3 linked regions of the Rattus norvegicus genome follow. The protein of the gene in region 2 binds, or shares a complex with, the protein of the main gene of each other region. Links are inferred from orthologs where the notes say so. Each region holds a gene or a part of one and is shown on either strand. Other genes may lie near its edges.

Region 1 (3,956 bases), on a different chromosome or scaffold from region 2:
CTGCTATGCGTTGCCCTTTCTACCCTGTTTGCAGAGTTAGATTCTCTAGTGCTTAGTTTTGATTGGTTCATGAAAAATAGTACATCACTAGGTTGTCAAAAATCAATGTGCTAACATACCTATGGAACAGAACACAGTGCCATAAAGAAGTGACCAATGGGTACTCAGTGAATGACTTTGGTGGGCTGAGAGAAGAGGGACAGGGTATCTTTGAATTCTATGGGGGCGTTGTAAAGGCAGACTTATTTTACACGAAGCAAGTTCTACTTTCTTGGGACATAATGCTGGCAGGGTTGTCAGGTTTTGGATATCTGGAAAAAGTGACCACCAGATTCCTGTGGAAAATACATCGGTGTGAGGCACAGACTAAGAGCCTATCAGCATATAGTTGCTGTGCTGAAGCTCATTCTCTAGTTTCTGTTAGGCACAGCCTAGGTTTTTCTGTTTACTCCTACAGTTTAGGAAAACTTTAGGTGTGCTGGCTCTTAAGTCACTTCCAGATGGAAATTTAGAAATGAAAGGGCCCTTAAGAGGCTGTCTAGTCCAGTGAATTAGTTTTACCACCAGGAAAACTGAATCCTAGAGTCTCAGTAACTCCAAGGTTCCATATCCTGTGAGGGCTGCTACCTGTGTTTTATATAACTTGTTTCCAGATGTGTCCCCCAGTGTGAGCTTCTGCTTAGTCCTCGTTTATTCAGTGCCTTTTTATTTTTGAGACAGACGTCTTCTAGAGTGTAAGGACCACTCCGAGCATTTACTTCCAAGTCTCCTGTGGTCCATCACTGGTAAGCAAGTGACAACAGATATTTATGGAGACTTCCTCCAGGCGGTTTAGCGCTTATGCCCCTGTTCCTCCAAAGCCAACACCATCACACAAAACCATGTTTCATTTAACCCCGTGCTTAGTGGTATGAGGTCACTTGTCTAACCCATGTGCTGTCCTCAGTTGATATGACAACTATATTTTCTCAGCGTGTTTCTGAAATATGAATTACTGTTGGAAAGGTTGGTCGATCTGTCTACAGGCTAAAGTTGTGCATAGCCTGCCTACCACAGGGCCCGGCAGCTCAATCCCTAGAGAAGGGTGCACCCTAGAACCAGGTCTGTTTCAGGAGTTAACCGAAGAGACCCCCAGCCCATAGCCTAGTCAGTCACCCATGGGCATAATGCTTGTTAAGTAACTGAAACACTTGGGAAGTAACTGCAAACATTCATTTAACTGGGGGAAAATGACCTGGTTTCATCACATTCTTGTTCTGAGGAGTATGGTTCAATCTCGAAGGATTTAGGTAATTAATCAATAAGACATCAAATCTCAGAAAAACCCTAAAGGCTCTACAGAAATGTTGGGCCAGAAGTTTCAAAGCAGAGACTATGAAGGTGAAGGACTCAAGGTTGAGTGTTGTTGTCCTTGTTTGTGTATTGTTCTGTTTCTTGAGACAGGGTTTCTCTGTGTGGTCCGTGGTGGCCTCAATTTCAGAGTTCTACCTGCCTCTGTCTCCTTCCCCAGTGCTGGGGTGAAAGGTGTGTACCAGAACCACATGGCAAGTATAAGGGGTTCATACACACGTGGGACAACAGGCCAAGCATGGACAAACGGGCTGAGTTAAAATGTACGAGCTTTAGTGCATGAAAGTGTGGTGCACACATACTACCTCATTAACATAATTTTTGTGTTTATGTATAACTTAAACTACACCCAAGATTTAAATGTTTTTGAAGAATTGATGCTCTAGTCCCCTTGTGATTTGTCCTAGACTCTAGGATCTAGAAGGAAGATCTCAGTTCGGCGAGGCAAGATCAAGTAAGAACTCAGTTTTTAAAAGCTTAGCAACAAATTTCACCTTTAACACTCCTTGTATACGTAGCCTCTCTCTACCATCCTTTAATAAGAAAGCATCTGGTACTTGGAACCAAAGTCGGGAATTAAAACACCAGTGAAATGAAAGGGGGCTGTAGGGCAAGCCTTCAGTTTTGTGGCCACGTGGTCTGGACCGACTGCTTCCACTCTTGTAATCTCAAGGCAAGTTTCATGTATGCTGTGTTTCCTTGTCCTAACTTCTCACTTCAGCTTCGCGTCCATCACTTCGAACCTCAGAAACAAGGCACAGACCAATGGTCCTAAAGCCCCTACGTGGGTGTCAGCTCAGGGAAGATGTCCCAGGACTTGAAGGGCAAGTACTTGGCTCCTCCCATCCCCGGCTCTGAGGGTCACACCTGGGGGTGGGTAGTTGCACGTGAGTGTCATAGACGTGGAGCCTGTCACTATCAAAGGTTGTGGCCGCCTGATCCGCGACCCCCACAAACAGAGTTGGGCACCCGATTCCCGGCCTTCCCCCCGGGTCACCTGTAATTGTAGGCGCTGAAATGCTTGCTCTCTCTCATCATCGCCCGGTACAGATCTAAAACTTGTGCGCGGCTGGAGGCTGCCATGTTGGAAACGAAAAAAAAAAAAAAATCAAAACCTAACAACAAAACCAAACAGGTCCTTCTTCGTAAAGGTGCCAAGTTTAACTGAACAGAAATGTCAAACGATGCAAAAAGCACGCTGGAAGGCAGGAGCAGCGGCTCGGCCTGGCTTGCGGCCTGGCACGCGCCCCGCGCGAGAGGTGGCGCCGCAGGCAGGACGGAGGGCAGCTAAGGGGAGGCGCCCGTAACTTGGACCCTCTGCGTTCCTCTCAGGCTGCCCCACCGGCAGGAGGCCAAGCCGTCCAGCCCCAGGCTCGCTCCTCCGGAGGACAGTCGGGCTCGAACACCGTGGCTCACAGCCTCCTTATCCTTCCGAACCGCCTGGGGGCGTGGCCTGGACCCTTTTGTCTCCGGACACCACGCCCCCTACACCTGCCCAGGCCCGGTTGCCTGGGTGACGAAGCGCACCCCTTAGCTCCGCCCTTGCCCGATTCGGCTGTCTTTGTCACTGCCTGACCTGCTGTGCGCGACAGCGAGGGTGACTTTGATTTGACTCGGCCTGGTTGGAAGCCTGAGGTTATAAGTGTCATCTTGGTTGGGGGACGCAGCGCCAGAGGTGCAGAGGTGACTAGTTATTGACTTCCTGGAGCACCGGCTTTTCTCTGGGCGAGCGGCACAAGGGACCTCGGGCCCGGGCCTCTTTCCGTCAAGATGGCGGCGCCCAGCGCGCACAGTGTCTGGGTAGCTTGAGGTTAAGCTCAGCGACTACCGATTGAACGTGTGGCCGCGTTGCGGACTTCGAAACACCCGCGTTTGTGTTTCCCCGGCGTAGGCTGGGTGAGTGCTGGCCTTGCTGCAGAGTTGAGGTGTCAGGTCGCCTGCTGTTATGCATTTTGCAATCGGCTGTGACTTCCATTTCCGGGATATTCATTGAAGGGGCTACACTATTTTTTGTTTTTTTTTTCTTTTTTTCTTACACTTTTTTTTTTAAATTTTTGAGACAGGGTCTCGTTTTGTAGTTCAGACTGCCTTTGAGTTCTTGGTCGCAGCTTTCCCAGTGTTGGGATTACATGTGTGGGACACCATGCACTACTTTTTTGATTAAGAGCACACAATTTAGCAGTGTGTAAAAAAAAGCTAAAAGTCTCGACTTTAAATGTCATGGTTAATTAGGGAACTCTTAGGACTTTAGGGGGTTTCTTAGGCATCCTTTCAGACCCAAGACAAGAACAGGGTTTTCCTCAGCATTTAGCTATTAGGAACCAACTTACTAAAGTAAGTTTCTTGGTTTGTTCCTTGATTTTAGGACTGTGCGAAGAGAAGTTTCCGATAATTCTGGTTATTGTGTTTGGAACGCACTTGTTAGTTTTGGGTCTTGTTTTATATTAAGATCTTGCAATGATCCATTCCTTTCATATCCCCCGCCTCTAAACACAGCAAAGAGTAATTTCTAAAGGCAACTTACCATGCCTTGTCGTTTGTTTTAGTGTATCAAGTTTTGAAACGATGCATGTTCTATTCGAAACAACTTGTGTTTTCAGGATCAT
Region 2 (4,300 bases):
TGTTGGCACTCAGGACCCTGAGTGTGTCTATGAAAAAATGACCCAAGACATGCTGTGGTGTCAAATGTAACCCTAACACTCGGGAGGCTGAGGTAGGGAGACCCAGAGTCCAGGCAAGCCTGACTGTATATAGCAAGGACATACATAAACTAAACCAATGTACACATATACTTACTCGGCAGCAAACTTCTTTAATCAGAAAACTAGAGAGATTAGCTGAAAAATATTCTAGATTTCTGAATAAGAATGGCAGGGCGCTTTTGGTGCCTAAATCTACTGTTCCCTTTATACTGTATATCAGAGGCCTGTGATAGAGACAAACTGCCAGTCCTGCTCATTACAATGACCTAAAAAGGCCACAGATAAGATGAAGGACAGACAGGAATAAGAGAAAGTGGGAGAAAAATGTTAACAGTGAGAATGACAGAAAAGTCTGAGGTAGGAGGATCTAACATATCTCGTGTGCATATCAAGAAGGAGTTGAGAAGAGATTAGAAACTATTAAGGGACAGGAGTTGACGGCTTATCTGCATGAGTGAGGCCCTAGGTTCAATTTCTAGACTGGAAGGAAAAAAAGATCAAGCGGACTTAATAAGACATGGGTGGTTCAGGGCTGCAGTCCTAGGGCTTGCTCCCAAAGTGAGCACAGAGTAACATATTCTCACCAAGGCCAGCCTAAGATAAAATGAGACTCTGTCTCAAAGACAACAATCACAGGAAACACAGGGCTGGTATGAAGTGCATTTAACATGGAAGAAAAGGAGAAACAGTGTTGAGAACAGGCAGTGAGAAAACAAGTGACTGGAGTGGACTTGTGTGCAGTTACTCATGTAGGCCACTAGGTGTCAGTAATTCACCAGGCATCACTGATAAGTTCCAGGGCCAGTATGTTACACTTTTTACAAAAAGACACAGGATGGTAGGTATCCTGCCCTACATTATCCTGCATCCTCTCTTGGAGGAGCTAAACCGCTTCCACCTGCCAGATGTCTACCGTTAAAAAGTACCTTCCCTGTAGTCAATACGGGCTGTCTCAGTTAGAGTTCTCCCCAGACTCACGTGTGACATCAATCACCTCTAAGCACCAAGGATGGCACTATGTGCAGCGACTCTAAGCTGGCCCACTACTGATGAGTCTGCATTAGAGTCCATCCTACTCGCCTTTGTCCTTTGTTTATGGAAAAGCTTTAAAGGCCATCTCTCACTTGCCCACTGCAAACCTCATGAACTGGGGCACCTTAAACTCAGCTGTTTGAAATAAACCCTCACCTCTTCAAAACTCTTCCTTAGTCTACTCCCTCTCCATTTTCTGGAAATTTCCAAGCCAACTTATTTCACTCATCTAAGCTGGGTGATTCAGAGAAAAGGTCTCTTATTCCTTTAACAAACCTCGCTTACCATTTGCTTTCTGATGTACAGAGAACGTTCACAGACCAATAACAAACCTAAGATATTTTGGAAACAACTGCATCTCCACATCTGTGAATGAACTTAATCAAAACCATTCTGTAAGCATAAAGCAGTTCCTCTACTATCTGTATAAAGCAGGCAGAGAGAGCACCACCTGTTCAAAGCACGGTCCCAGGACCCCATCTAGAAAGCCCACGAAAATAAACACCTTACAGACCTACTGAATGATCTGTGTGCACAACTTAAGTTTGAGAAGCAATGTCGTAAGAACGTAAGATCACATTTTAGCTTAATCTGAAATTAATCTCTAGATCCAGGGCATGGTAACTTTACTGCCCTTATAATACTTTTATAATGACAACCTTTTGATACAGACAGTGGCCTGTCTACCTATTACACTGTTAGTGAATCTCAGCACTGGATGTAGAACCTTATTTCTTCTTGTAGCATGTAGGTGTGACTGAACCACTACTGCAGGAAGCTCGCTGAGTACAGAAAAGGGGTTCTTCAACTAGACCCAGAGACTATCCTACAGTAGTCCCTAATCCTGCATGTACACTGGGAACTTAAAATGCCATGCCAGGGCTTGATCCCAGCGGGGTAAGAAGGGGAGCAGGAAGAGGGCTCACTAGGGTCTTCTGTTGGGCGTCTAGGGTTGAAAGTGACATCCTCACAGTTTAAGCATAACACTGGTTTCATTAAATATGCAAACTACAAAGGACTTGTTTCCTATCCTTATTTCCAGAAGACTCACAGACAAAAGGTGCCACAACGGGTAAATTACGATAGAACTCTAGGAACCTAGAGAACATTCTGGAGAGGGCTATTGTAGGCAAGTGGTTTTCCTCTTGTGCACTTCCCTAGGAGGTGACCACAGTAATTGCCATCATCACAATTGACAAAGGCAATACGTGCTCTACCCGATCTCTCAACTAAACTTCATTGCCACTCCGCAAGGATGAGAGCTGGTGTCCAATTTTGCTGTTCAGTCAAGACTTGGTCAAAATCCTGTGCTCTAATCATAAGACACTTAGCTTCGCGACAGTGGTCAACCAAAACCCGTCTAGCAGTGGGGCTAGCCGTGTACCCCGACCACCCCTGCATGTTGTGTGCAGCTGGCTGGAGCCCCTCCCCCAGCCCGGATGGCCCGGAGCCCTGACCCCTGACTAGCTCCGGCAAAGTCACCGCGAGTCACCTGCGCGAGCGCCAAGGTGGGCTGCAGAGTCCCGGTTCTTCTCCAGATTCCCTCAGGGCAGAGAATGGTGCTGAGCGGCCGGGCCAAAGCCAACGTGGGAAGCCGGGGCAGCGGCGCAAAGGCCGCAGGCAGGCGGCGGACACAGGCGCAAAGGACACGAGACGCCATGGCTACGCCAACCCAGGATGCACCGCGCCGTGGCCTCCCGCCGAAGCCGCTGGTAGCGCCTTACGCCTGCGACGTACAGAGCGGCGCTTGAGGGCTTTGCGGGCGCTGGCGGTCCCTGGCGGCTCCCAGCCGCGCTGCACCCACCTCCGTTTGAAGGGCAAGGGCTACTGTGGTGCAACTGCACAAATGCCATCTAACCCTAAACGCTGTCACTGACTCAAAAAAGAAACTGACTTGTTTCTTCTCCCAAAGTCCTGAAATATACTGTTGGCTGTCAGTGGGAGAGAAAGCGTTTAGCCTCGTAGAGGATAGAGGGGTAACCAGGGGGCCCTTACCCACTCAGAGAAGGAGAGGAGGAGGGGGAAGGATTGTGGGAGGGGATGATCGGGAGAGGGCAGTGAGCAGGATGTAAAGTGAATAAGTAAAAAATAAATAGAAAAAAGTTATAGGCAATCAGCTATATGGGTGAGCCCACAACCAACAAAAGGGGTAGTCTCAAGCCTCGAATTAACTCATTAAGTAAGGCTTTTCCTCCTAAATAAAAAGGATAGGGAATTTGAGAAGGGGACTATGCTAGATTGTGAATCTTATGTCTAGCCTATGGGAGAAAAAAGCAGGAATTTCCTGTGGTCAGGGGTTCAGAAACGACGGTCTTCGGCAAAATCAACCCGAAAGCAATTTTTGCCTTTTCTCTGTGCTGGTGACCCTTTCTGCAAAATGGTATATTAAAACTGCATCATTTTCTGTCAAAAAAAAAAAAAGTGTTTGCTGGTGATCATCGCATGGTGGCAAGCATCTTTAATGCCATCACTCTGCAGACAAGAGGATCTCAGAGAGTTCAAAGACACCCTGGTCTACAAGCAAGTTCCAAGATAGCCAGGGTTATTATAGTGAAGCCCTCAAAAAATAAAATATGCCACAATTCTCCCATACCATTAAGATTTTTTCTTTTTTTGGCTTTAGTGAAACCTCAGTACAAATTATAAGTGTGAGAAAGAATCTATTTAAGACTAGCAGCCAGGTAGGTGTGACTGCCATATCCACATTCTCAGTTCCAGAGGCTAAGGCAGGAGGATCATCGATGGTGTGGTAGCCTAGACTACATAGCAAGGTCCTATCTCGAAATAGATTTTAAAAAAATGAATAGATAACCCAACCACCATCACCACAAAACTCCATGTGCTTATATGAGTCAACTGAAGACTAACCAATGTTGAAGTCTAACAATACATATTTTAAATTTTGATAATGTATGAGTGTAGACAGTTTGCCTAGGATGACCCAAGTTCTAGATTCTGTCTGCAGTACAACAAAAACAAAGCAAACAAAACTGAACTATATGTGTATATTACAGATTAAATAGATTACTTACAGCTTTGCAGATAGGAATTCATTTTCACACCTTGAAATTTGAGACTGTAAACAAAATGGACAAGTGGCAACTCTGGTGAAACCTACACACCAGCTGGACAGTAAACACAGCAGACACCCGAGGGGCAAACTCCTACACTAACGCACTTTCCCAGT
Region 3 (4,042 bases), on a different chromosome or scaffold from region 2:
TGGCTGGCTGTTGATGTACTCTGCTCTCTACCAAGCATTAAATACGTTCATTCTCTCAGCAATCCACCAAACAAAAGAAACAGAAGGCTCGGAGAAACCGGCTCAGAGTTCACAGAGTTGGTGAGGCACCAGAGACATGGATGGTTTGCTTCTGAACTGTTACAAATTCTGTTCTGCACAGCGTCTGCTAGACTTGGGAACAGAAACACTCATCCACCCCCTAACCTCTCTAGTGATTTTTAGTGGTTTGGGGTTTATTTTGAGAAAGAGAATCACTCTGTATGCTGTCCTGGAATTTGCTATGTAGACAGACACCAGGCTGGCCTCAAACTCACAGACATCTACCAGCCTCTCCTCCCAAGTGCTGGCATGAAAAGTGTGCACCACCATGCCTGGCCACCTCTGCCACCTAGATTCCTCAGGCCTCCTATCCCATTAACTCAGCACCGTCCCTCCCAACTGGTCTGCCAACGAAAACCTAACTGTGTTTATTCTTGGGCGTATGGTTCCTGGTAGGCTCAAAATGGCCATTCTGATATGACAGAGGACCTGTCACTTTGGTACACACAGTAGATAGTATTCACACAGGGACTCTCATCATTTGGGGGGAGGGGCAATTTTTTTCATAATTTGTCATAATTTTTGAGATAGGGACTCTTGCTAAATTATCCAGGCTGGGTATGAATCTGAACAGGGCCTTGTTACAAGTCGCTGGTTGGCCTGGAGTGCACTCATTGGGTAAAGCAGTTACCGCCAAGCCCAGTAGCCCGAGTTCAATCCCTAGGAAAATAACATGGAAGGAGTGAACCGACTCCCTCAAGTTGTCCATTCATCTCTACAGAGGCACACACGCACTAAATAAATCCAATAAGGAAAACACTCAGCAGAACTCACACAGGAGCGACATGAGATGACTAATGACCTGATTCATGTCTGAAATCAGGTTTTGCCACACACACTACTCTTGCTTCTGCACCCTGCTTACCACAACATGGTGCACAGCTCCCTTCTCTGCAAGGTGGAATTACTGCCTCCTCTATTCCTGAAGCTGTCCCAAGGGATAGGCACTCAACACACACTGACCTCAGACCTGCTTACAGAGGCTTGGGAGTTACAGCTGGTATGAATGAGGCTCACTGTGGGAGAGACGTCAGAGAGCAAACACAGACCAAGCTCTGAGGCCACTAAATACCCAGACAGACGGGCACGGGCTTAAGCTGGGTGAAAGGATGCCACACTGTCAAGTCTGCAGAATGAGAAAGAGCCAAGCATTTGTTGGGGAAACACTTCTGACAGAGAACAAGCACAGAGGTCCTAGGCTGGGACTGAGCTTTGATGCCTGAAGAGAGCAAGAGCAGTGAGGGTCCAGCTGCACATCTGTGACCCAGCCCTGGAGACAGAGATCCTGCCTCCATACTTCTCCCCAAAAGGTGCTCAGTGGTGGACTAGAGAATGGAAGGGTCAACATCACGAATCCACAAGCTCAAAAGAACAGACTCCAGGAGCCTGTAGTAAAAGCTTGGTAAGGGCTGCTCGAAAACCCAATTTTATTTTAGTATTATTTTAAGGAAAGATTTCCAGTGTTTATATATGTTTCTGTGTGGACTGTGCATGAGAATGCAGTGCCCATGGGGACCAGGTGAGGGAATGTACATGGCAGAAGGCTGTGAACTGCCTGGCATAGAGTCGGTGGTAGGAAGAGAACACAGGTCTTCTCACAAGCCATCTGCAGTCTTTAGCACTGGTGACCTTTCCAGTTCCACTATTGCTTCGGCTTTAACTCAAAGATGGTGAAACAAGAAAGACAACCTGTATTCCCAGAACTGAGAACGCTGAGGAGTAGATCAGCCAGTGGTTTTAGAGGTAAGTCACAGAGACTGTCTTAATCTTTTTTGCACTAAAGAGGTGGAGGCAGGGGGATCACTATAGTGCGTTTGAGCCTAGTCTGGTTACCTAGCTGGTTTCAGAACAGCCTGAATAACATGGACTCAGTCCTTCCCACCCCATCTATACAGTAGTATGATAGCACATGCCTGTGGTCTCAGGACTCAGGAAGTGGAGGCAGTAGGTTCACTGTAATGTGTTGAAGGCTAACCGGGATTACATACTTAAAAGTTCCTGGACCGCCTGATTCAGAGTGAGCCCTGACCCACCCATACCCCACTTAAACAAAAATATCGCATTGTGGTACTGCACACCAGCTCTCGGGCGGTGGAGGCAGAAGGGTCAGAAGTTCAAAGTCACCCACAGATACTTAAGTTCGAGGTCAGCCTGAGCTATATGAAACCTTGTCTCAAAAAAAACAAAAAGAATGCCAAGGTCTCCCTAGTTTCATATGACCTACCTTCCAGGTCCACCCCGTGACGCTGGGCCAGATGAAGAACATTGTCCCCGACTCTGCCCCTCACCGGGATCCGCTTGCCAGAGCGGTCCACGAACACCACGTTGACCCTGGGGACAAACGGTGCAGGTGCTGAGCCCGAGGCCGGCCTGTGGCTAGGTGGCAGGGCGGGGCAGGGCGTGGCACGGCGGGCACTCACACATCCCGGGGCAGCTCCGGGCTGTCCGCCTCGTCCTCGCCAGCACGCCGCTCGCCTGTAAACACACGAGTGGGTGAGCGGCTGCGGCCGCACTGCCCGCCACGGCCCAGCCCAGCTCTATGTACCTGTAGACCCGAACGTCCTAGATGTTACTGCCGCGTGCCCGGCCCTGGGTCCCCAAGATCCCCCGGCCGCCCGTAACAAGACCCGGGCGCTCACGCCACGGGCCATGGAGGCGGCCATGATAGGCCACGTGACCGGAAGACCGAGTATCCCCGGCGCGTCGCCGCTACTCTAATCGCAGCGTTTGATCGCCGTGTGAGGTCACGTACTTGATCCAGCTGAACTTCCGGCCTCGCCCCCTGGTTGGATTCTTTTCCCCCTTAGGCCTCATTGTATATGTTCTGCTTATATGTACGTATGAGCACCAAGTACGTGCCTTGTGGAGCCCAGAAGAGTTAAAGGGTAGTGTGGGGGCTGGGAACTAACTAAACTCTGTTCTCTGTAAGAGCAGCAATTGGGACCAACCTCCGAGTCCTTTAATAATTAGACAGGATTCCTTCATTTGGCCTTTAACTCTGAAAGCCTCTGCCGGAATTAAGGGTTATGTGCAACCATGCCCAAGATTTAAATTGTTTCAGACTGGGTCTCTATATAGACTAAATGTAGATCAGGCTGGCCTCCAAGCCCAATTTAGATTTTAGGGATTGTGTGTGAGCACATCTGTGCCATGTTTGTAGGTCAGAGGACAACTTGTGGAAGTCAGTTCTCCTTCCGCCTTTTGGGCCAGAGGGCTAACTCAGGTTGTCAGGATTAGTGTCAAGTCCTGTACCAGAATACTGAGCTATTTTGCTGGGCCCATGGTTTATAACAAGAACCAGCCAGCTCTGATGTTTTTTTCTTAAAACCGTTTACTTACAAACTTTAATTCAGCAAAGGTCAGGGAGCAGGGGAGGGCAGGAAGGGGGAAAGGGGAGGGAATGCCCCCTACTGGAGTGAGTTTGGTTCATCAGGTTTGAGGAGGGAGGCTGGTGGTGGCTCAGCTGGCCAGGGGCAGAGTCCCTAGGTCCCCTCAGATGGGCAGAGAGGAGACCTGCTCCAGTGATCCAGCCTGGGGATGGTGATGATCTGGGTTTGAAGGAACATGGTAGAGGTCCAGTGGCCTGGGTACAATGGTCACCTTTCACAGACAGCAGGGGACACTGTTGAAGCCAGCAGAAAATACTGGTCTCTGCACCCAAGCTTAGGGCAAAAGGGGTGGTTTGCCAAGACCAAGGCTTTGGCCTTCTGTCCAGAGGGCAGACACCCTGGAGAAAGGATGAACCCTAGGCCAGAGCTCTTTGGTCCTGAGCTGAGCTTTTGGAGCTCCGCATCTGAGAGGCTCTGACCCAGCAGGACCTGTGGCCCAACTTTAAGGCATCAGAAGGCAGGGGCTGGAGATCCTGGGGCTTAGGGTACTGGCCGGAGTAGGCAGGCAGGGGCATGACACAGCTATACCTGCA

Evidence for each region. Proteins that work in one complex are often made in the same cells at the same time.
Region 1: the proteins of Ndufab1 (region 2) and Lyrm4 are in contact, whole or in part, in a crystal structure (PDB 6ODD), measured with the Homo sapiens proteins. The link is inferred for Rattus norvegicus from reciprocal best matches to the Homo sapiens genes NDUFAB1 and LYRM4. Residues at the interface, in NP_004994.1 of Homo sapiens: Lys92, Asp111, Ser112, Leu113, Asp114, Val116, Glu117, Met120, Glu123, Asp124, Glu129, Ile130, Asp132; in NP_065141.3 of Homo sapiens: Arg6, Leu10, Ser11, Tyr13, Arg14, Leu17, Arg18, Lys21, Arg37, Phe40, Arg41, Lys44.
Region 3: Ndufab1 (region 2) and Fdx2 share a complex: the UniProt entries of both Homo sapiens proteins name them as parts of the mitochondrial core iron-sulfur cluster (ISC) complex. The link is inferred for Rattus norvegicus from reciprocal best matches to the Homo sapiens genes NDUFAB1 and FDX2.

The regions. Positions count from the first base shown.
Region 1 is NC_086035.1:28,950,756-28,954,711, reverse strand, and holds the start of Lyrm4 (LYR motif-containing protein 4), read right to left. Parts: upstream 2,801-3,956; 5' UTR 2,434-2,800; coding exon 2,348-2,433; intron 1-2,347.
Region 2 is NC_086019.1:186,086,537-186,090,836, forward strand, and holds the start of Ndufab1 (acyl carrier protein, mitochondrial), read right to left. Parts: upstream 2,801-4,300; 5' UTR 2,774-2,800; coding exon 2,606-2,773; intron 1-2,605. UniProt on the Homo sapiens protein: Carrier of the growing fatty acid chain in fatty acid biosynthesis.
Region 3 is NC_086026.1:27,883,208-27,887,249, forward strand, and holds the start of Fdx2 (ferredoxin-2, mitochondrial), read right to left. Parts: upstream 2,801-4,042; 5' UTR 2,784-2,800; coding exon 2,666-2,783; intron 2,596-2,665; coding exon 2,541-2,595; intron 2,452-2,540; coding exon 2,345-2,451; intron 1,247-2,344; exon of another isoform or gene 1,084-1,246; intron 1-1,083. UniProt on the Homo sapiens protein: Electron donor, of the core iron-sulfur cluster (ISC) assembly complex, that acts to reduce the persulfide into sulfide during [2Fe-2S] clusters assembly on the scaffolding protein ISCU.